Linked DNA regions of Struthio camelus. The protein of the gene in region 1 interacts with the protein of each later gene in a biochemical or structural test. Links are inferred from orthologs where the notes say so. Each region holds a gene or a part of one and is shown in the gene's direction. Other genes may lie near its edges.

Region 1 (6,995 bases):
AAGCCAGGTGGGGAAAAAAGTTTTAACTATACAAATTGACAGGTTATCAAAGACATTTTAGGTCAAGAAAGCAATTCACCCTTTTTTTTTTTTTTTTTTTTTAAACAATCCCTGTGCTGGAGTTGCTAGAGAACTGATTAAAAACAAATATAGTACCATTTTTACTACGAGTGCATCAGAATCAACCAGGTAATCACCCATTTGTAATTATTGACAGTACTTTCCTATGGCACTTTTACAGCAGTGGACAAAAGACTACAATTTCCAAGCTTAGTAAAATACTGTTGTGTTTTAATGAAAGAACCAGGAATTGCCCATCCTTTCTGGTGATGTCAGCATGCATCCATTAGGGTATATTCACTGGCTACCATGCAAAGAAATAGAAAACCTGAGCGTCTAAATATACACCTGCCCAGCAATCTTAATTGCTTTTTAAAGATAAAACCTCAAAAGGAAAGAATAAAATGAAAGTAGCTGATGATATCTGTTTGGATAAAATAACTTTGCATTTGATTTGGAAAGGTAATTAAAATCTTAGTTCAAAAGCATTTAACTAGCATCCTATGAACTGAAACAGGCTCACAGGCTATGATCAGTGAAGACAGTGATATACTGTCTACACAAGAAAGTGCTAAGTTTAACCTTTTTAATCTGTATCTGTGATCTAAAAAAGGACAGCACCTATCACATAAATGGAATTAACAGATAATGCTAAACAGAGTAGTTATGTGTAGAAGCACAGGAGAAAAAAAATCTTACTAGAAAATGAAAAAGAAGGGAACTTATATAAATGCAAGTCCTATGGCCTGTACTTTTCAAAAAGTGTTGACATCTGTTAGTGAACAAGCAGAAGAGCAGCTTTGAAATCACTGAGAACTGCCGATCCAGAGCCTCTTGGCTTTCTGTGGGTTGGAGGGTTTGGGCCTCATTTGCATGCCCGCTATGTAACAGCTCAGATCATTTCTCTTCAAATTTTGCCGGGTTTTAAAGTGAGGGATAAGTGTAATACCACTGTTTATATTTGAAAAGGAACATGAGAGGCCCGTGTCTAATGCTTTTTGATAGGGGGGTCATGCCAACCTGTTGCAGTTTGGAGTGATGCAGTAAAGGGTAAGGAGGAATACTGACTTCAACTCTTCTCCTGAACTAAAAGGACAACATGGGGCTTGTTGTGTTAGATACTGCCAGGAGTAAAAGACAGCAGGGACACTGGGACACCTCGGCGAAGCTGCAGTGGAAGCTTCTCAGGCTCTGGGATTTTGAGAGCCCTATGAATGAAGAGTGGGTAGACTGAACTTGGGTGGAGGGCAGCAGCTGACACCCTGAGCGGCCTAACACGGGTGTTACACGCACTGACGACATAGGGTTCCACTGAAGAAAGCTTGTGCTCTGCTGTGCACTTCAAGGGTCACGCAACCAAAAGCAACAAAAAAGCGTGCAAATCAAACAGATTTGACATTGTTTCCTCCTTACTATGCATCATTATATTTTATAGTGCAACAAGCACAAGTATTACAAGCTATCCTTGATCTCCTAAATCATATTTTCCAACAGGCTACAAGCTAAAGCTCAGCTGTGTTATACTACGCCTATCTTTTGATGGCTTTTCATCCAAACCTTATGATCTCTGGCAAATCTTTAAACAAACCTATTCATAAATGTAGCAAGTTGTAAACCAACATTAGCTAGGCTTGACCTCCTGGGAGGCTGTTCCAGAGTCTTGCTGGAAATAGTTGTTTTGGGAACATTTTACTGCCCAGGCGGTTACTGCCTTCATTTTCAAAACTATCAGATGACTCTACTATATGTCTTCTGAAAACAGGCCTCTCATATGACAGTCAGGGTCTTTTCCAATGCTATGGTAATATAAATAAACCTTAAAGGACACTTTAAAAGAGGCTTAAAAGACAGGGGAGACTCAAACTTTTTTGCATACAGCAAAAAAATTTATTTTAAATCAGCATAGAGCATGACAGGAGAAAATCTAGGAAAAGAGAGGTCAGGGATGCACCGATGACTTTGGAGTGCAGAGAACTTGTGTGTTAGCGCTGACCTGAGACTGCAAACCCAGTACAGTATGGACTCGTTGGTCAGGAGACAGATGAAGAATCTCCATGTTTTTGGTGTGCCTCGGCTAACAAGACCTGCTAGACTTGCTGGACCTGAACCAGATTTGATGCTTCTCTGTGCTCCCCAGAGTGTCAAGGTCTAGGTTAGCATGCACAGAAACAGCTTGCACCTCCCACAGATTTAATCTGCAACCTAAGTAACCGATCCTTGGGAAACTGAGAGTTGACTGCAGCTAGAACTTTCTAGACCAAATGCACCCAAAAAACAGTGTTTTCTTTCTCTCTTTTCCTCACCCCCACTTACTCCTCAGATTGAAACTGCACCAAAGCAGATGTTTGCTTAGGCCTGAAAAGCATGTTTTTTTACAGGGGAAACCTGTTGATTTTACAGTTTGCATCCATCTACTGAAATAACACCAGGCTCTTTGTTTAGGTTCTTTCCACTGTTTTCCATCGGCAGAGCCAGGCTAACGGTGCTAAAGTCTTTGTGTACTGTGCATACATGTAGTTTTATATTGACACAGAGCAACTGCAGAGCCAGGGCAGACGCACCATGCCTGCTCACAGACCAACTGCACAGGCTGCTGCCAAGCCCCCTGCAGCCTTTCCAGGGATCCCTTCCAAACTAACGGTTTGGGGGGTCTGAACCGCACGGACCAATGCCCTGAGGCGGCAGTGGGGATTGGCAAACTGCCTCTGGAAACACCGAGCATCTGTCCACCAGCCTCTGGCTGCTGCTATCGAGGGGTCAAAACATCACGTTGAGAAAGCAGAAGCAGAAAGCACAAAATAAGCGGGTTTCTCTCGGCTCTCGGGCCCGTGCAGGCCATACGGACGTTCTCACTCAAAGCCCGCGGCTTACTTACCGCGGTTGGGCCGGCGCGGAGGAGCGCGAAGGCCGGCCCCGGCCCCGGCGCAGCGCGCTCTGCCCGGGCGGACGCAGGCGGCGCTGGAGGGCGCCGCCGCCCGCAGGCAGCAGAGGCCGCTGTGCGGCAGGCAGCGCGCTGCAGCGGCAGCGCCCGCCCCCAACCGCCGCCCAGGGCGCGTCGAGAAAGTGAGAGAAAACTGGGGAAAAGAAAGTTCAGGAAGGGTCGGGAGCACGCCCGCCACCTCACAACGCTCACGGAAGGGGGAGCAGGCACAGCTGCACGCGGTAACCCCAGGAATCCCGCAGTAATGGCTTGCAGTAGAAAGTTTAGCGCTGCAAAACTTAGCACCGAATCGCCAGAGGGGATCCTGGTCTGATATTACATCATTGCAAGTTGCAGATATTTGGACTGAAGGTAGCACGCAACGCATAACGTTTGTGCTGTTGCAAATAAGCTCAGAATCTTGGTTTGCTTATTCCACTGTACTTGTACTAACAACCTCCATTTTCAAAGGGCGTTTCTTTTTTGCAAAGCTGCAGCAATGCCCAGCACTCTGGGAGTGGGTCAAGGCACAAAACCACCGGAATGACTTATCCCCATACAAACGTTTTACTGCTCAAAGCTAATTCTTAACCACAGAACTTGGGTCAGAAGCGTACTAAGCCTGTTCCTACCCTTCTTGGTTCACATAGTTTTATTTTTAAGCACATAGCTTCTAACCGGATTCCTCAGCTCAGTAAGCCAAAAGACATGCAAGCTACTCCTACTGCTGCCTCTGAGAAGGCACTTTGCTTTGTGCCTATTTGCGCTTTCATGTAAATCTGAGAACATGTAGCGGTAGGAGGAAGAAAAAAGAAAAGGGAAGAAAGAAAGAAAGAAAGAAAGAAAGAAAGAAAGAAAGAAAAAGCTGCCTGCTGCTTACAGCGTGCGCACCCATGCGGCCACACAACGCGTACTTTCCCCTCAGCCCCTGGCGGGCTCGGGCTTTTTAAACCCTCTCGGCTACCTCTCTAGAAACTTCTCGGCCCCTCCTCCCCCCTCCCCTGTCTCCTCCCCTTCCCCATCGACCTCCGGGCCGGCGCTGCGGCGGAGGTAGAGGCGCAGGAGGCGCGCGCCTGCCCGCCCGCCTCCGCCTCCCCCTCCCCCTCCCCGCCGCGAGGTGCCGCCGCAGCCCGGGCGCGAGCTGACCGGCGTGGGAGCTGCAGCCAGTGGGCGGGCAGGCGAGCGGGCGCTGAGGCCGGTGCGGACCCCCCCTGAGCGGCCCCCCCCCCCCCCGTCCTCTCCGCAGCGGTGGCAGCGGCAGGCGGGATGACGGCAGAGGAGATGAAGGCGGACGGGGCCCCCCTGGAGGGGGTGGACATCACCCCTAAGCGGGATGAGGGTGTTCTCAAGGTAAGCCGGCGGCCGATCGGGGCCGCCTCCCTCCGTTCCCCACCCTGGCTTTTGGGGCTGGCAGGAGGGTTTCTTGGGCGAGCCGTGGCGGGGGGGGGGGGTTGGCGGACCCGTGCCTCCTCGTTAGCTCCTGCTCTTGCCCCCTGCCTTCCCCCTCTCTTCCCCCCCCCCCCCCGGCCCGGTGTTCGCTGGGCTGCGTGGTCCCTCATTTTCCCCTTCCTTCCTGCCTTTGCCTCAGGACACGGCCGTTACCTGGCTACCCGCCGCCCGGGAGGCTCGTGCGGCCCTTGCTGTTAAACATTAGCCACGCCACCGCGGGGCAGCGGGCGGGAGGGCGCCGCGCCTTGCGCGCGTAGCCACGTGCGCGCCGGCTTGCGCGGCTGCGGCGGGGGGCGCCCCCCTGCCGGCCGTGGAGGAGGAGCCGTGCTGGTGCCGAGCGGGGCTTTCGGTCTCCAGCTGGGAAGGTTAAAACGGATTGCGAGGAGGATGCGCTACGTGTAGGTTGCTGCACAACACGCGTGCGGGCGAAGGGGCGATCAGGAAGTTGTGTGCCTTTGCCGTTCTCCCTGAGCGCGCTCCCATGCCCGCTGCTGGCTTGTTTTGAGGGGTGTTGGGGGTTTTTTCGTCCCAGCATATGTTCTCGGGGGCAGGGATATTTAAAAAAAAAAAAAAAGCCTTGGAATAGTATGTATATTCTGTATTCATTCAGAGTTGGTATAAAACAATGCTGCTCTGTGAACCTGACCTTAAGAATCTGAAAATGGGGCTCTCCATCTTGGTGGAAGCAATTTCTTAAACATGAGATAATGCCATATACACTTGGTCCTGATGTAAGTGTAGTCGCCATCTGTGTGGCAAGAGGCAGGAAGGCTGTCATTTGTTCTGTTTCATGGGAAATACTAGCTGTTAGCAAGTTAAGAGTGAGGGTGTTAATAGGGCGTACTGCAGGGCTAGTTGTGGTCACAATTTTTGCCAGATATTCAGCGTGCCAGTAGCCTGGCTTCTTTCTTCAGTACTTGCAAGTCAGTTGATAGGAGTGGCAGGATTCATATGAATGAGGGGGGAGTTGCATTAACTTCCTCCTTTCTCTAAAATTTCCTATTTCACAATCTCTAGAAGCTTCTTTAGTCCCTAGAAGCTTGAACAACAATCACTAGAAGCTTTTTTTTTTTTAATTCAGTAAAATTTCAGATCAATTATGTTATGAAGAAGAAAAGCAGGAGGATTGTAAAGACAAAATTCTACCTTTAGTGGGACTTGTCTTTGGGGCACTTCCTCTACTTCAAAGAAGGGTGTTGAGGACTAGACTGAAGATGTGTACTTGGTTCCTATAATCTCCTTTACCCATATTTCTGCTAACGTATTTCGATGAGGGTTTCTAGCTTTTGTGTATTGCACAGCATCAAGTTAGTGTTCTCGCATATGCGGCTGCCCAAGAAGTTGCCTGCTGGTGTGTCATCTCAGCTCCCTGAACGTTGTAAAATGCAATGTTATAATGCCTGCCTTATCACTCCATGTACTATGCATCTTTTGATGATGGAAGAGAACCAGGTAATAAAAAAGGAAAACACTGGCAAAAGAACTGAGGAAAGGTGAAATTTTGGACTGATGAGGTGTAGAAGAATGTAGACGGTTATGAAGTCCAGCCAGTGCGCCTTCAGGGGTTTTGTTTTTGTAGTAATGTAGAAATGCAGAATAAACCTACAGAAATCAGAGGTCTAACTCTGAACTAGTCTACACCTATCTTGTACTGGTGTCATTTAATTGATTTCAAGAAAGTTTTCATTTGTTTATCAGTTTCATATCTGTATAGTATACAGAGGTTTTTACCTGGGGTGTGGAATGTGATTGCATTGCTTCTAATGTAAGCACGTAAGTTTAGAAATAGAAATGAGCTTTGCAATCCCATTATGAGCAGAAAAAGCAGCATCCCCCATCTGAAAGGGAAAGGGGTTACCATACTGAGTATAGTGGGGGGGAAAAAAAACAACTCGATTCCTCTCCAAAGTGAAGAAAATGTGAAAGAATAACATTGTATAAACACTGAAAATGAGATATTCATAACTTTTTGTGTTGTCTAACATTGAAGAACCTGGCATTTGAAAGAGCTTAGTAAATTATCATTAAATGCAGTTATTACAAGGTGATTTCAAGTTGGCTGTCTTAAAACTACTAGTCTCCTAACAGCTTGGAGCCTTTTTTTTTTTTTTTCCTTCTTAAATTTAAAATCATGATGTAGTTCAAATTGATTACTAGATTCCCATTATTTTCAAATGTCTCTATTTACTTATCTCTTTCAGTTAAATGATTGCTTGAATTGTCTTCCGTGGAAAAAAAATTAATAAATTATCTTAGTTTTGTAGCATGAAGAACTGCTGTAGCATTCAGGTTATGCAGGGTGAGGGGATGGTATAGTTAGATAAGGCATCCTTCATTACATTGAGCCTTCTGTCCCTAGGTAACAGCAAGTAGTAACTTCTTTTCTGCCTCTACTGAGATACTTTCAGTTTGTTAAGACACAAGCTTCTGACAGCTTCTATTAAGACACCTTCTGACAGAAGCTGTTCATGTTTGCCTCTGTTTCAGGCAGAGGGGCCCTAGAATTTCACTAACAAAGTTGGGGCAAGGCACAAAGTAGGAGATTCTGGCAGTGGTTGCAGGAAGT
Region 2 (7,353 bases), on another chromosome or scaffold:
CTGAGCTTGATCTCTCAGCTTTGGCCAGATGAAACTATCCTGTATTTGGCCTGGGCCATGCAACTAATTCTGGACTTGATTTCACCATATGTGGTCACCTTTCTCCTACTGCAGCAGGAGCTCCCACTCTATGTACCGTTTCCAATTTGGTCATGGAAAACTTAGCTAGGAAACCCACATGTACCAGAACTGTAACATGTTCCTGCAGTGCTTCGCTTCAGGTAACTGCAGCAGGAATAATCCTCACACAACGCCAGCAAAACAGTGCTGCCAGATAAACTTTGGGGCAAAGAGCAGCATTGTAGAAACTTTCTCTAAATCCACAGAGGAGGTGATCCGGAGCTACCGTTTTAATATTTCACCCATCAGTCAGGAGCTCAAGAGGCATAAATGAAGGCTGTGGTAATAAAGTGAGTATATACACATAAGTGTATACAGTCCTTGAAAACTAGGGCATATTTTCTCTGCAAAACCCCTGAAAATACGGCAATCGTCCTCAGATCTGAAGAGATTTGTCTACTTTAAACTGCAGAAAACAGCTCCAAGAACTTTTTAAAAAAATTCTAACGCTAAGATACAAAATGGTATAAAAACTTGCAACACTTACAGAATTCACAAGGAACTCTTCAGTGATGTTCTCTTCCAGCAGCTGTTCAACAGTATACAGTGCTTTTTTTTCAAATTCAATCTTCTTTCTAATAGCAGCCTCCAGGGCTGCTTTCCTTTAACAGAACAAACACTGGATGACAGAGAGAGCAGACTCCCATGAACAATTTACCCAGTCTTCTCTATCTCTTTTTTCTGAAATATAGCAGCTTATATTTTTCTGCATTTCACCATGGTGGCCTAACAAAGCAACAAGTAATTGGACTAGGAATTTTCTAATAATCACAGGCCACCAAACAAGTTTCCAAACTTTGTTTACTTTTCTCTTCCCCTCAGTCAGAAAAGCATTGACTCTTATTGGCAAAACACCACAGAAGAAAAAAGTAAAAGCTTCAAGAGGGAGAAGAACCTCCTGTCTGGTAAGTAAATACATTGCTGCCACAAGATAACTAACTATATCAGTAGGTTTGTTGTGCCTGTGACACTTAAAAAAACAAAAACAGAGAGCTCTGCAAGAAGAGACAGTAATTTTTGTTAGACCAAAAGATATAATGGGGAAAAAAGCAATCATCTTTTGCACACACAGAAACCCTAGTTTAGGACTACTCTATCACCCCAAACCAGTTCTCCCAACAGAGGAGGCTCAAAAGTGTAAGAACTCAAAAGGCAGGGGTACGCTTTTTACTACATAAGCATGTAAGAGTCTAACTATACAATGGAATTACACGTTCTGCCACAAGAACTGCAGTTTTGCTTGCACTCATTGGTCATACGTTCCATTATATCCTTCCAGGTGGCTGCAATGAGACTCCACTATGTATTACATTTTCTTGATATACCCGGATTTTGGTCTTTGCTGAATTTTATTCTCCTGCTCTGAACTACGGTGATTAAACACCAGCAGCCCAAGTGACAGAACAGAGATTTCCCTTTGTAGTTCTTCCTCTCACCAGAAAAAAACCCCTCTCCTGCCACTTGCATCGGCACTAAGATTCTGAACGTTTTGGGCAGCATTTACTGCTCATGTAGCCACTTGTTTCCTGCTCTGGAACAGGTGACATGCTGTCCCACCCAGGTTAAAGGAAGAAGGTATGAGCCCATAGGTAAAACAAGGACAACCATTTAATCTTCATTTCTGAAAAGACTGGAGGTTAAACACGTTTCATTTTTCTTTCTGGTCAAGCTATTCTCCTGGAGCTTGGCCTAAGTACTATCAAGTCTAGGATGACAAATCTGAGACTTAAGATCCGCATGAAGTTAGTGCGCAGTTCAAGTCTGCCATTCAGATGGGTAATAAACGCTATGTAAACCAAATCTCTGGCACTTGGAAGGGGCAAACCAGACCAAGTTGCTCAGGCTGACATTTCTGAGTCATTGTGTGAGCCAGCTACATGCTCATCCAACAAGAAGATGTCAGCTCCTCCCCCACACCTGTACAGCACATAATATCTGTCCTGCAGCTTTTAGCCCTGTTAAGATTTAATATACAGCTCTGGACTCAAAAGTTGGCTATAATCATTCTAAAGAATACCGGGTTCATGTTCAGCAAATGCTCAATAAGAGATGGAAGAGATGTATCTGTTTTTCCAAGGGTCATTTGAGAATCCCCCAGAGAGGATAGGAACTGGTTTCTCAAGTAGGATCTTAAAGAGTTAAGACACTCCGAAATCAGTGTTTCAAGATTTAGATAAAGAGTTGAGAAAATAAGATAGAAATCTAATTATTAGCAGTACAGTCTGAAATCCAACAACAATGTCTTTTGACTTAAGTCAGCTATTATTACTTTACCAGAAGTATTACTTTTAAAAAAGCCAACTATAAAACCTGACTCTTCTTAAAAGGAGGGGAAGCCCAGAACGGGCTGGACCAAAAGCCTGGGACAAACATCTATGGATTGACAGGAGAGGCGTCAAGTACAGGAAAGAAAAAGGACTAGGACAAGACTGAGCGTGAGGGTACAAAAGAAAAGAAGGAATAAATCAAAGGGTTTCAAGGGGAAAAAAATGATAATACCACCCTCTACAGCTACTATCACTCACTACCTTGTCTAGTGCTTTAAGTAGGGAAGTGGTGTTTTATCTTGTAAGTGTTTGAATGAGGTATCTCTATATTAAGGTATGTAGTTAAAAGTTATGCAGCATCATTGAAAACAGGTTAGCATGATCTGTATACTGGCTTATTTCCTTAAGTTAGCTATGGTATTTTGAGAAAGAAAAAGAAAAAAGTGAAATGGAGAATATAATCAAAATGAAGCAAAACAATGAGATCGCTATGTACTACTAGTTAGAAATCGTACCTCTGAGCAGCATCTTCATTCTTCAGAGCAGCTGAATGCTTATTTCCTAGAAATCAAATAGATAAATCAGTATACCTTCTTCCTTTAAAATGCATTTTAAGCCGTGAACAAACGGAACTGTCATGTTTCCATGCTCAGCCACCGTGCAAATAGTTCGATCCAGGAAAACATTACAAACTCCAAACTGTAACCATAATCAAGGCAGTTGCTTAGGCGCTTGGTTTTTGGTGGCTGCGCCTAGCTACCGTAAGCTGGTAATCCACTCAGCAACTAGTTAGACGCAATCTTTGTACGCGAGCGGACAGACAGGCCTAACGCTGTTCTCTCGTGTGACAGGCTCTGCATAACGAGCAAGCGAGAGGAAAACGGCTTCTGTCTGAGCTGAGAAACGCAGCTCTCCCCCTGCGGCCACACCGCTGGGAAGCGATACCCTTTTTTCACCCTCCCCTCACTCTGGCCGCGGGCAGGGGCTGCCTTCGGCCACGCAGGCCCCCCGCCCGGCCCCCCGCCCGGCGACAGGCCGCGGCCTCCGGCACGGCACCGCCGACGCAGCGGGGCTCTGCCTGCGCCAACCCCGCTCTCCTGCGCCCGCCCAGGCAGCCCCTCCGTGCCAACACACCTGACGTCTCCCGCACTTAAGAGGAGACGCGGCGTCCCCCCGCCGGAGCCCCGTCCTCCCTGCCACCGCCCATCTCCTTCGTGCATACGCCACTTTTTTTTTTTTTAAAAACATGAAGCCATTTTCAGTACTTTCTGGGCAGTCAATACTGTCCAGGCAAACACGGAGCAGCAGGGCGGAAACAAAACAGACTGATAAGCTTCACACGTGTATTTTCAGGGGCTTTGATCAGCTGTGAAATGCGGCGCGTTTGACGCCCGGCGCCGGCGCCGCCCACCGCGGCAGAAGCGGGGCCCGCAGCCCCAGGAGGAGGCGGCGGCGGCGGCGGCGCCGCACCGCTGCCCGCCCCTCCCCAGCCCCACCGAGCTCACGGCAACCTCTAGAGCCCCCTCCAGCCCCGCGGGCACCGCCGGAAGGGCGGGAGCCGCGCCGGGAGGTGTTCCAACCGTTGTCGCCGCACAGGCAACAGCAGAGACCCCGGGAACCCGCAGGCCTCCTCTCCTCCTGTGCCGCGAGTTGGGTCATTCCGCCGGAGCGGCCTCAGGGCACAGGGAGAGCCCACGGCGCCGCACGGGGGGGGGAGAGGGGCGGCACGCGGAGCCTACCTGCGCGCCGCCGGCTCGCTTTCCCCTTCGCGACGCCCTGCGGCTTCGCGGCCGCCATCATCGCTGCCGCCGCGCTCCCTCCCTCTGACCTCTGACCGGGAGGCGGAGCCGGGCCGCGGCCGCGAGCGGGGAGAGGCGGCGGCGGCGGCCGGGCGGGCCGGGCCGGGCCGGGCCGGAGCGGCGGGAGGCGGTGGCGGTGGCGGCGCGGAGGGGCCGCAGCCCGGCGGCCGCGGCTGAGGTGAGCGGGCGGCGGCGTGGTGCGCGTTTCGTTCAGCCTGGCGGGCGCGGGCGGCAGCCGCCTCGCGTTGGCCTGCGTGCCGTCGCCCAGCGAGGGAAGGGGCTGAAAACAACTGGATGTTACCAGTGAGGGGGCAGTTCGCTTGAGAATTGGTAGCGGACAGTTCTTCGTGATTCAGGTGTCGTTGGCTACTGAAACCACTGAAAAGACTTAATTCGGAAGTGGATTAAGTGTTAAGACCTGAACTGGCTCTGGGCTCAGCTGGCAAATCCCTGGCAGCTCAGGGCATGCCTCAAGGCTGTCAATGCATTATAAAGTTACTGAGGGCTGAAAATGCAGGGCTATTAACGTTCAAAAGTATCTTTACATTGTTTGGGGGGAATTAGTAAGATCCTGTAAAATTAAGAGCTGAAGTAGTGCAGTGAATGCTAACAAAGTGTATGATAATCACAAAATTAAAATGACAGGCCCGATGCATTGCTACATTGGAGTGAAGTAGAAATGTTAAAATAGGCAATTTAGAACAGAAAGTAAGTTATTTATTCTTTCAGTAATAAAATTCACATACGGGTGCTTTATAGGTTATAGTGAGTTGACTGATTTTTGTAAATATCTGAATAGCTTAGATGCGTAGGTATTGCGTTAGCTAAGGTCAAACTTAAGGGGAAAGATGGAGAACCGTACATGGAGATGGCCGTATAGATACGGAGCTTGGATATTTTCGTGAGAGTTAGCTGTTCACTCAAGGGCAGAGGCAAGTGACTTGTGCATACAGTCACAGTGGTTATGTAACCATATTTATGCACGTGGAATTAACGTAAAGCATAAAGAAAGAATGTGACTACCGCTATGATATATCACGTGAGAAAACTGAACTTGACTTTATTTGTAAGTCATGGCCCTGACCAGGTAGAACTTGATATGCACTTAATTTTACTCAAATGTTTAACTTAACTGCTTTCAGCAACAGCAGTTGTAGTGTCTAGAGGTAAAAGGCCACTGAACCAGCAGTAGAAAGAAGTAAATGATACTGCACATGTAATCTTTATGAGACTAAAACGGTGTTGATATAAACTGGCACGGTGGTTGGATCAGCTATGCACATCCCAGGCATCATCTAATTAGAGCCTTCTAGTCAGATCTAAGCAGAGAGCTCATCTGATTAGCATATTCAGAGCAAATGTAGCGTAGCGGGGACATCCGCACCTGGTACGCAGCAAGTCCAGACTTGCTCTGCAGTAGTTGCAGTTCTCAATGTAGGTGTTCATGTAGTAGCCAAAGCCTGCTGACAAATTTTTAAGATACCTCTGATAACATTTGAAAAATTACTCCCCTGTACGCAATGTAGGCTGCTTCCTGTCTAAAATAGTATCTCCTGCAAGTACAGGAGGTAGAATAATATAGCATACACTCCTTAAAGATGCTTTTCTCCTATCTTTCTATAATTCAGTCTTCGTAATATGTTTGTCTTGAGTCTTCTCATTTCTCTATTCAGCGTTCTTTTGACAATGTGATTATTTTTCAACCTCTGTTTTTACTTTGGGTGGTTTAGTATTGCACTCTTTTTAATTTATTACAGAAATTTTAAATGCCAGAAGAACAAAGTCAAACTATAATGGCAGTTGATGAACTTCAAGCCATAATACAGAGATGCGTAAGTACTTTTCATAACAGTTGTAGGCGAAAGCAGAGTAAGTTTGTCTTTATACACTGTAATTAAAAGCAAAATGACCCTAAAAGCAGGACGGTTGTTAGCAGAACTCCTCATTGGGCAGCTAGGTTTAGCCTTCATGCTTCATTGCCTTCTCTTTGGTGCTTATCCCAAGATGCTTGGTAACTTCTGCCTCTTGGAGGAAGATATGTTCTTGTTTCACTCAGCAGTAGCTGTGTGAAGGAACAAAACGCTAGCAGATTGTTGCAGAAAATGCATCTCCCAAGTAACATGCTGTTGTCTAGACTTGGAAAATACTATTGAAATACTGCTTTCTCTTCTGTAGTGGCTCTCAGTAATTATTTTTAGTATATAAAAGATGATATGCAAGAAAAGACATTCCATTTGACTTTGCAATGAAAGCTTGGGTTTGCTTATTTTTTGTCTTTTATAAAATACAGAGTCAAACATGCGTATTTTCTTTCTAGCAAATTCTGGAAGAAGCTGATTTCAGGGGAGAAGATTTTAATCTGTTTCAGGTAGCAGGCCAGAAGTGTTTAGAAGATGGATATGCAGCTCAGTTATTAGAAGTAGTTCAAAATGAGAAAAATAAGGTAAGTTTAGATTTATGTTACGTCTTAGCTGTGTGCTAAACACACCATTAATAGTTAAAGCTGCATATGAGGTGGGAAAGCTACTTTCACTATGGAGTAAGGGTGCACATATGAATAGTTAATCAGTTGGTCTGTGTGAAGTGCACATTCTAGTGTAATTTGAGTTACTATGACTTGTGTACTCAAGTCACAGTAATCTTAACAAAGCTATTAACAGCTGTTTTCCTGTGAGTTAAGCAGAAGGGAGAAGAGAGGCCAACCTCATAACGAACAGAAAGTGACAGTGGCCCTCTGTGGCAGGAGAGAGAATTTCAGATGGCTATAACAGCATTGGCCAAAACCGTAAGAGCAAACAGCTAAGCTGATGCTAATGGAAGAGAAATTGTGTGTATGCGCTTTGAGGGGCTGGGAGAACGTACTTACGTTGAATATAGATAAAGAGGAAGTCTGAAAGGAAGGGAGGGATGGAATGTTTTGGCAATATTGCTCGAGTCTGATTATGATCTCTGTGATCATCTTCAGTAGCAACTGAAGGTCTTCAAAGAATGGGTTTTCCCGTGGACAAAATATTGTCCAACAATAATTTCTTTAAATTTTCTTTCCTTGATTTGTCTATTCAAAAACCAGCAAAAAATCTCCTATTTGAAACGTTTTATCATATAAATATCTGGAAACGTATAACGACATGTTAGGATTAATACACTGAAGAAAACTATACGGAATA
Region 3 (7,513 bases), on another chromosome or scaffold:
TTGAATGCTAGAATTAAAATTCTCTATGCAAAGCTCATTTAACTTCCTTGTGGCTTATACAAATAAAAAAGTTTATTCAGCAACACTGAAGAAGCTTATGGCAGAATCAAGAATAAAAACCAGTTTTCCTGGGTATTATTTCAATGGTTTGGATATTAAATAACTTTCTTTCCTCATTCCTTCCATCTTTTACTTTGTTCTTTGTTCATTTTGTAACTTTCATGTGGCAAGGAGTTCTATGAAATTGTGTTAATTAAAGACTATTACAGTGCAAATACATATGGGAACAAGTATGGCGCCCATTCTTAGGAAATCAGCAAATGCAAGGTTGAGGCCTATGCAGTTAGTGCAGAGCATATCTTAACTTTCTAGCACGTGTGGTTGGTATGGAATAGCTTTTCGTTAAAGAAGGCCCGATTCTGCAACATTTGATCGAAATGTGAACTTTCTGAAGGCAGAAGTTGCTCAGATTCTGACAAGAAAAAGGGGAAATCAGAACTGCTTGCCTTGGCTTAGATTGCATATTGTGGGTTGTGGGGGATTTTTACCTTTGCGCTTACAGTAATCTTTGAAGTGATAAATCTTGCAGACTACATGGCAGTTTCCCTACGTTATTCATTCTAATATTGCATCAGTAGGAAAACCCATCCCTCAGACACTGGCTACACCACCTGCTGAAAAAACTGCAAGAATATTTTTAGTCTAGTTTCCTAAGGAAATGGAGACATACGCAACAGTATGGCTGTTGCCCATCAGTCCCTCCCTAATGATTTCGACCTATTAACCAATTCGGTCAAACTTAGCAAAGGTACAGGGATCACAGAGATATCAAGGTTTGAGAAAATCAATAGCTGAGTAGCAGAAACACCTTCTCCTGCTGCCCCTTTTGAAGGAAAGGATGGGGAGAATTCAGATTTATCTTCCCCGTTTGGCTGACCTAACAGCTAGGAGACAACAGCTCACTAGTCACTAAGCACATGAGTGTGCCCCAGCCATAGTGTGTACTGCCTCTTGCTCAGGCTGGAAATCAGAGAAAGGTGGATAAAGGATAGATGAGTTTGGGAAGATGAGGAGAGGTGCCAGGGATGCCTAGGGGACATAGGAGAGAACAACAGTGTAAATGTGCCGAGAACATAGGACTTGAAAAATTCAGGTGTCAGCATTTCCTCTATTCGCAGAGCTATTTGTTATAACAAGAAAGTATTTTAATCTCTTTGCTGGGGGAAAAAAAAGGAATTATTTTGCTCAGATTTCCCCTCACCCCCCAAATTAACTCTGACAGAAACCACGTCTGGAATGTTTTAGCCCTAAAACCGAAGCAATGCAAAACTGGAGTCAGTTAACATGGAGCAACCACAGGAACAAAATGCGTTTTAGCTAGCCATCACGGCCTAAAAGAACAAAAAAGAGTATCTAGTCACAATCCATGAAGAAAATATTAGCTTTATACAGGCACACAATTATAAGAAGCTGGGTTAAGCAAAGCTGGGAAAACGGAGATGGTTTGGTACAAGATTACTTTCTCCTAGTGGAGGGAAAACAACTATTTTGACAAAAAGTCCGTCTGTTGAAGGCTGCCTTTGAGAGTTTAATAACACAATTGCAAAAGAGAAACAGACTAATACGACTACCAGATTAGACGATATAAATTCCGGTCCAGGATCCTGCAGACACCATGCAAAATCTGCCACAGGTTTTCATATGCTTAAAAATTAAGTAAAGCCGTAAGCCTGAAAGACTGAATCGACAGTAAACAAGGGCTTATAATGGAAAAGATTTTCTTGAGAATAACGTCTCGAAAATATTAATAGAAGTTGCACTCTTAATATTGTGGACTTCTCCAGAGGAGCGCATGCAAAAGAATTTTAGTAGGATAGTCCTGGGAAAATAACTGGACAGATTTCTTCAATAGCTTAGCAGTTTTGTAAAACATAGAATTTACTAGAATTTTTGACACAAATTTTAGAAAACAATCGAACATTTCAGGTGACGGAGTTTGAATGTAAGAGGGTGTCAGCCTAAGAGGCACGTCGTATAGGAATTTATACAGCCGGATTACATTTAATCGAAGAAAAATATGGAAGTTACGCTCTTGTGCTCGGATTTAACTGCCACACTTTATTAAGGCAGTGGTAAGAAATCATTAAGCTGCTTTCTGGAAGCAGGCAACCAAAGCAGCAGTAGGACCACTCAAAACACATGCGGCATGAAAACAAAAGAACACGTAATGCTCAAGAAAGGATTTTGGTGCATGTTATTTTGTAGCGTGCATATGTGTTAGAGAAAAAGAAAGGCATTGAGAAGCACCACAAATCAGACCCGGATTAGGCACAGAAAGAAGTAAAGAAACAGGCAGAATACGCACTAAAAGGTCACCCACGCAAAAACTTAGACCTTTCTAGGCTGAGCGTCGGTTCAGTTCCAGCTTTTTGCAGCGCCTTAGCACTGTAAGCAAATAAACTCACAGTTATCGTTTGGTTATTCTTGCGTGCTGAGGAACAGCTCCTCTTACACCCTCGCAAGTTATTGTTGACACTGCGATCAATTTCTCTGTGTAACCAAAAGGACCCACAGGCCCAGGTATTTTGGCTGACTGCTTGGGTCAGAAGTGTAATGACCCTATTGGGAGGGGCAGAATCCTGTAAGTCATTGCATCTTTGAAGACCCTGATGTAGACAAGAGCAGCAGCGACAATGAAGCAAGCAGCTGCAATTTTGATTCCTTGGCTGATCCTACCTGACGTCTTACACTTAACGTATCTTCTTGCTCATCAGAGAAGGTACCCAGAACTACTGAAAACTCCCTGAAAGGCATGATAACTGCAAGAAAATCAGACCTGCAGGCCACAAGTCAATCAGATTTGTTTGTCTAGGTCAAACTGCAGGATGAAGCATGTTAAGGATGTTAGATTCATCCTAAGGATCTTCAGTTAAATGCCTTAACAGACCTAAGCATTGCAATATCCAATTTCTGTGGCACGCTCCCCCCCTCTAATTTAGAATGTTTAACTGGGAAGAGGGCAGCTCGGGCATAAAACAACTGGATTCTCAAAAGTCAATCAGATGCCGAACTAGACAGGTGTCTGGAGTACATCTAAGAGATCCAAGTGGAAACGCTAAAAAGGAAGTTGGGCCCGAGACGAACTTTTGCTACAGAAACAGCATCGTTTTTATTCCTCCAACGGATAAACAGCTACTCTTTTCAGAGAAAAGACAGCAGAGAGATTCTCTAGATCCATGTCTACCTCAGTCATTTGTGGACAGTTGTGACACTTAATACTTGTATCCATAGAAAGCGGAGCAGCTCCAAGAAGAAAGTTTTAGAAGCTTACTCGGGAACACATGTGATGCAAGTCATTCTCCTGAGACAGGGAAGACCTGCATTTAACTCCCTGCTTCCTATTGGGTAGTTCAGGATTTAAAAATAACCTCCCCAGCTAAGCTAAACGCCTTAATCACAGAGCTAGCTACTCAGTTTAATGAGAGACACGTACTCATAGACTTCTTTATGCTCGGTCTCAGAGATATTCTCACGCGCTAGATGGTGCAGGCCAAATCCAGTCTTAGAACGCCAGGGAATTTCAGACTCAAGGCTCTCATAAACTAACCATCATTGGCATCCTTCTAGTAGCTACTGTTAGCACCTAAATCCTGAACAGGGGTAACTGCACAGCTACGCGAGTCTTCCAAGCCTCTTGGATTTCATCCCTCACCTCTTTTTATCCCAGAGAAATATGTATACTGAGAGGTACGGTTTCGTTCAGCTTGCAGACTGCCACTTGCTTTGTGAGAAGCGGCTTGGTTTTCCCGATTAGGTGAAACGCTTTACCGCAGCATCCCCAAGCTGTGATTCACGCAGCTGCGCCTGGCTGAGCGGACGTGTCCTCCCGGGCTCGGGAGACGCCCTGCCCGGCAGGGCAAGCCCGCTGCCACCCGACCCCCGCCAGCCTCCCCGTGCTACCCGCAGCCCAGGCCTGAGGAGCAGCAGGGCCGCAGCCACCTGCGCAACCGGCCTGAGGGGAGCCACCCCGGCGCGTTTAACCGCGCCCGGGGCCGGGCGGGCGCGGCGCCCCGGCTGCGGCTGTGAAGCGGGAGACGCTGGGCCCTGAGGGCAGCCGGGGCGGCTTCTCCCCCCACGCCGGCTCCGGGGAGGCTCCGGCAGGGGGAGGGGAGCGCGGGGAGCCCGGCGCGGGGAGCCCGGCGCCTTCTAGGCCCTTCTCAACGGCGCGGCGGGGCGCGCGGCGGGCAGGGGAGGGGCGCAGCTGCCTGGCCCCGCCCGCTTCTAGGACGTTCTGAGAGGCGCGGGGCGACGGATGATGTCACCCCGCCGCTTGCGCAATCCCGCCGGACCCCTCCCCCTGAGCGCCGCGCGCGCGCCCCACCGCCACCCCGGGCAGCCACCGCGCATGCGCCTCCCCCACCCCGCCTCCCCAACTCTCCGCTTTCTCGACCGAGCTGACGGTTGGAGGAACGGAGAGCGCGCGCTCATGCAGCCCCCTAGCTCGCTCGCGCACATCTCCCCCCCCCCCCCCCCCCCCGCCTATCCCGCCCGCCCTGACACTTGAGACAACGGCAGGCGCATGCGCGAGACTCGCCCTGTGACGAGCGCCTTTCGCGGACGGCTACCACTGGCTGCGGCGGGCTCGGCCCCGCCCCCAGGTGCCCCTCCCGCCCGCCGGCTTGCCCCCTCCCCCGTGCCTGTCAGTGAAGGTTCCCGATGGTTCTGGAAGGAGGCGGCGCCGGACCTATATAAACCCAGCGGGCGGCGGGGAGCGCGCACTAGTGGAGGCGCAACGGTGCGGGTAGAGCGCGTTCGCCGCTTGACTGAGGAGACTAGCAGCCTTTCCCCCCCTGCAAAGGTGAGCGGAGGCGGTGGCACACAAAGGATGGTTAGCACTTGAGTCCCGAACAGGCGCCGGAGAGCGCGTTTTCGCTTCCGCTTTGAGCGGCTGGCGCATGCCTCCGCGCGGTGCTGTGATGGGGGGCGGGGGCTGGGGGGGGTTACAACGGGGAACCGCGTGGTGCAGGGGGTGACTTTTTTCCCTTTTTCGCCTTAGTCCCGGGGAAAGTGGGCGCGGAGGGGTGGTAGGTCTCAAAGTCTGGGCTTCGGTGAAGGAAGGGGGGGGGTGCTGTCGTTTGTGGAGCCGGAGTTTTTTCTGCCTTTCCTTAAAAAGGGTGGAGGAAAAGGGAGAAACGGCGGGGGGAGGGGGGCTTAGGTCGTGGGTAGGCCGTTTTATCACGGGGGAGGGCTATCTTTTTGGGACCGGTTCCGTCTTTACCGTGGGGCGCTTTGTGCCGCGACCCGCTGGCTCGGCTACAGCGGGGTGGTCGGGGGAAGGGCGGGCGGAAGCCTCGAGCTCAATGAATGAGCTCGGCCATGGCGGCACAAGATGGAGGGAATGGAGGCGGGCGGTTCTTGTAGGGAAAATGGATGAGGAAAGCGTGGGGTGCCGGGAGGGGAAGAAGAGAGGAAAAGACGTGGTCAGCTATGCGCCCTGTTCGTGGAGGAGGGTGCGCGCTGCGTGGGACTGGTGCTGTCAGGGAGTGGGTGGAGGGAGAAGGAGGGGGTGGCGGTTGAGGAAGGCTCTGGCAGTTTCTAGAACCTTTCATGCTTCTGCCGGGAGCCTGTAGGGGGCGCCGCGGCCCAGCGCGCCGGGAGGCTGATCCTGCTCGGAGCCTCTCGGGAAGCAGTGGCTCTAAATCTCTCTTGCCAGTCTTTTAAAGGAGGCCGTTCCGATCGGCGTGTTCGCAGCCTTAGGCGCTGCTTGACCGAGTTGTCGATTGTTTCTTACTGTTTCAGCGGTATAGTTGAGGCACAGAAATTTGGCGTTGCTCTCCATTCATCCTGTAGCGGATGAAGTGGGGACGCTTTTGAGCCCCCCCTCATTGGGGAGGGCCTCCTAAGCAACAGATTGTTTGTCAAGCTTGAGTAACGCGCCTGCGTAGGACGAAGTCGTTTAACCAGACGGTTCTGTGAAGATAATAGCTGCGTGAGCAAAGTAGAAGCTGGATGGGAGAAGAAGGAAACACTCCGAGTTGAGACTTAGTGGACTGCAGAATAATCCAACCAGTATCTCTAAAACGCCAGGCCAAGCTGTCAGTAAGATTTTTCTATAGGGTAAAAACACGCAGCGCTTAGACTGTGTCCAGGGGACATAAGGGTGCTGAATTCATTCGCAGATTCTCGAGGGGAGCGGTAACGTTCTTTTGCCTTATCCTTAAAGGTTAATGCAAGTCGGGGTCCACAGATTCAATCTGGAGTCAGTTCTCAGAATTCGGGAAAACTTGAAATTGTTACTGGTCGGAAACGCAATCTGCTCTTCTCAACCGATGGTGTTGAGTGTTGTATTTGAAGCCGTGTTGTTAGTGTCTGGATCTCGAAATGCTGTTATCCTGGATTGTAAATGGGTATGGACATCAAATGGCAGTTGGTTTGGGTGGAGCTTCACCTTACCTCCTCTTACAGATGCCAGAAGCTGTGCAGACTCAAGATCAACCAATGGAGGAGGAGGTGGAGACCTTTGCCTTCCAGGCTGAGATTGCTCAGTTGATGTCTCTGATCATCAACACTTTCTACTCCAATAAGGAAATCTTTTTGAGGGAGCTGATCTCCAATTCATCAGATGTAAGTACTTGAGCTGCTAGATGAGCTTGTTTCAGTATGATTTCCAGAACTGTTAGGAGTAGTCGGGGAATGTTAAAGCCCGTCTCTTCTCTTACAGGCGCTGGACAAAATAAGATACGAGAGCTTGACTGACCCAAGCAAACTGGATTCTGGGAAAGATCTGAAAATTAACCTGATTCCAAACAAGCATGATCGCACTCTGACCATTGTGGATACAGGCATAGGGATGACCAAAGCTGACCTGGTTAATAATCTTGGTACTATTGCCAAGTCTGGTACCAAGGCTTTCATGGAAGCACTGCAGGCAGGGGCTGATATATCCATGATTGGTCAGTTTGGTGTTGGCTTCTATTCTGCCTACCTTGTTGCGGAGAAAGTGACTGTGATTACCAAGCACAATGATGATGAGCAGTACGCTTGGGAGTCATCAGCTGGAGGATCTTTCACTGTCAGACTTGATAACGGTAAGTGTTCCAGGTTTCTGCTCAAGTGTGTTTTCTAAAGATGTTTGCCATAAAGATGTTTGCCGTTCAGGTTCCTGCTCTAGGCGTTGTAGAGCTCAGTAGCACCAGTATATAACGTGGGTAGTACTCGTCATGTGTCAGACGAAGCACGGCCCCAGCAGTGTGTCTCCTCATGTGTCGGTGTACCCTGCTTAACTGTTTCCAAGTGGTAGGGGGAATAGCTGCATTAAATGATGTTTTACGGTGAAAACTAAACTTCTTTTTAGCTTGCACACGGGAGTATTCTCGTAGACTCCTACAACTCTCATGATAACGTGAGCAGACTAATTAGTGAAAATTTTCTTAATTTTATTTAGAACCTTTGCCTGGGTGTTTACTAGTTACGATAAGCTTGACTGAAGTATCTATAAATCTGTGCCTATACG

What was found.
Region 2: the proteins of FKBP4 (region 1) and GLMN form a complex in vitro, tested with the Homo sapiens proteins (2 studies listed by BioGRID). The link is inferred for Struthio camelus from reciprocal best matches to the Homo sapiens genes FKBP4 and GLMN.
Region 3: the proteins of FKBP4 (region 1) and HSP90AA1 form a complex in vitro, tested with the Homo sapiens proteins (4 studies listed by BioGRID and IntAct). The link is inferred for Struthio camelus from reciprocal best matches to the Homo sapiens genes FKBP4 and HSP90AA1.

Annotation. Positions count from the first base shown.
Region 1 is NC_090942.1:88,453,860-88,460,854, reverse strand, and holds the start of FKBP4 (peptidyl-prolyl cis-trans isomerase FKBP4), read left to right. Parts: upstream 1-3,986; 5' UTR 3,987-4,246; coding exon 4,247-4,330; intron 4,331-4,582; exon of another isoform or gene 4,583-4,644; intron 4,645-6,995. UniProt on the Homo sapiens protein: Immunophilin protein with PPIase and co-chaperone activities. Component of steroid receptors heterocomplexes through interaction with heat-shock protein 90 (HSP90).
Region 2 is NC_090949.1:18,832,270-18,839,622, forward strand, and holds the start of GLMN (glomulin), read left to right. Parts: upstream 1-4,279; 5' UTR 4,280-4,364; intron 4,365-5,943; 5' UTR 5,944-5,952; coding exon 5,953-6,018; intron 6,019-6,503; coding exon 6,504-6,629; intron 6,630-7,353. Other genes in the region: putative RNA polymerase II subunit B1 CTD phosphatase RPAP2, read right to left, coding at 608-722, 2,903-2,948, 4,127-4,187.
Region 3 is NC_090946.1:71,305,208-71,312,720, reverse strand, and holds the start of HSP90AA1 (heat shock protein HSP 90-alpha), read left to right. Parts: upstream 1-4,439; 5' UTR 4,440-4,579; coding exon 4,580-4,858; intron 4,859-6,465; coding exon 6,466-6,624; intron 6,625-6,721; coding exon 6,722-7,088; intron 7,089-7,513. UniProt on the Homo sapiens protein: Molecular chaperone that promotes the maturation, structural maintenance and proper regulation of specific target proteins involved for instance in cell cycle control and signal transduction.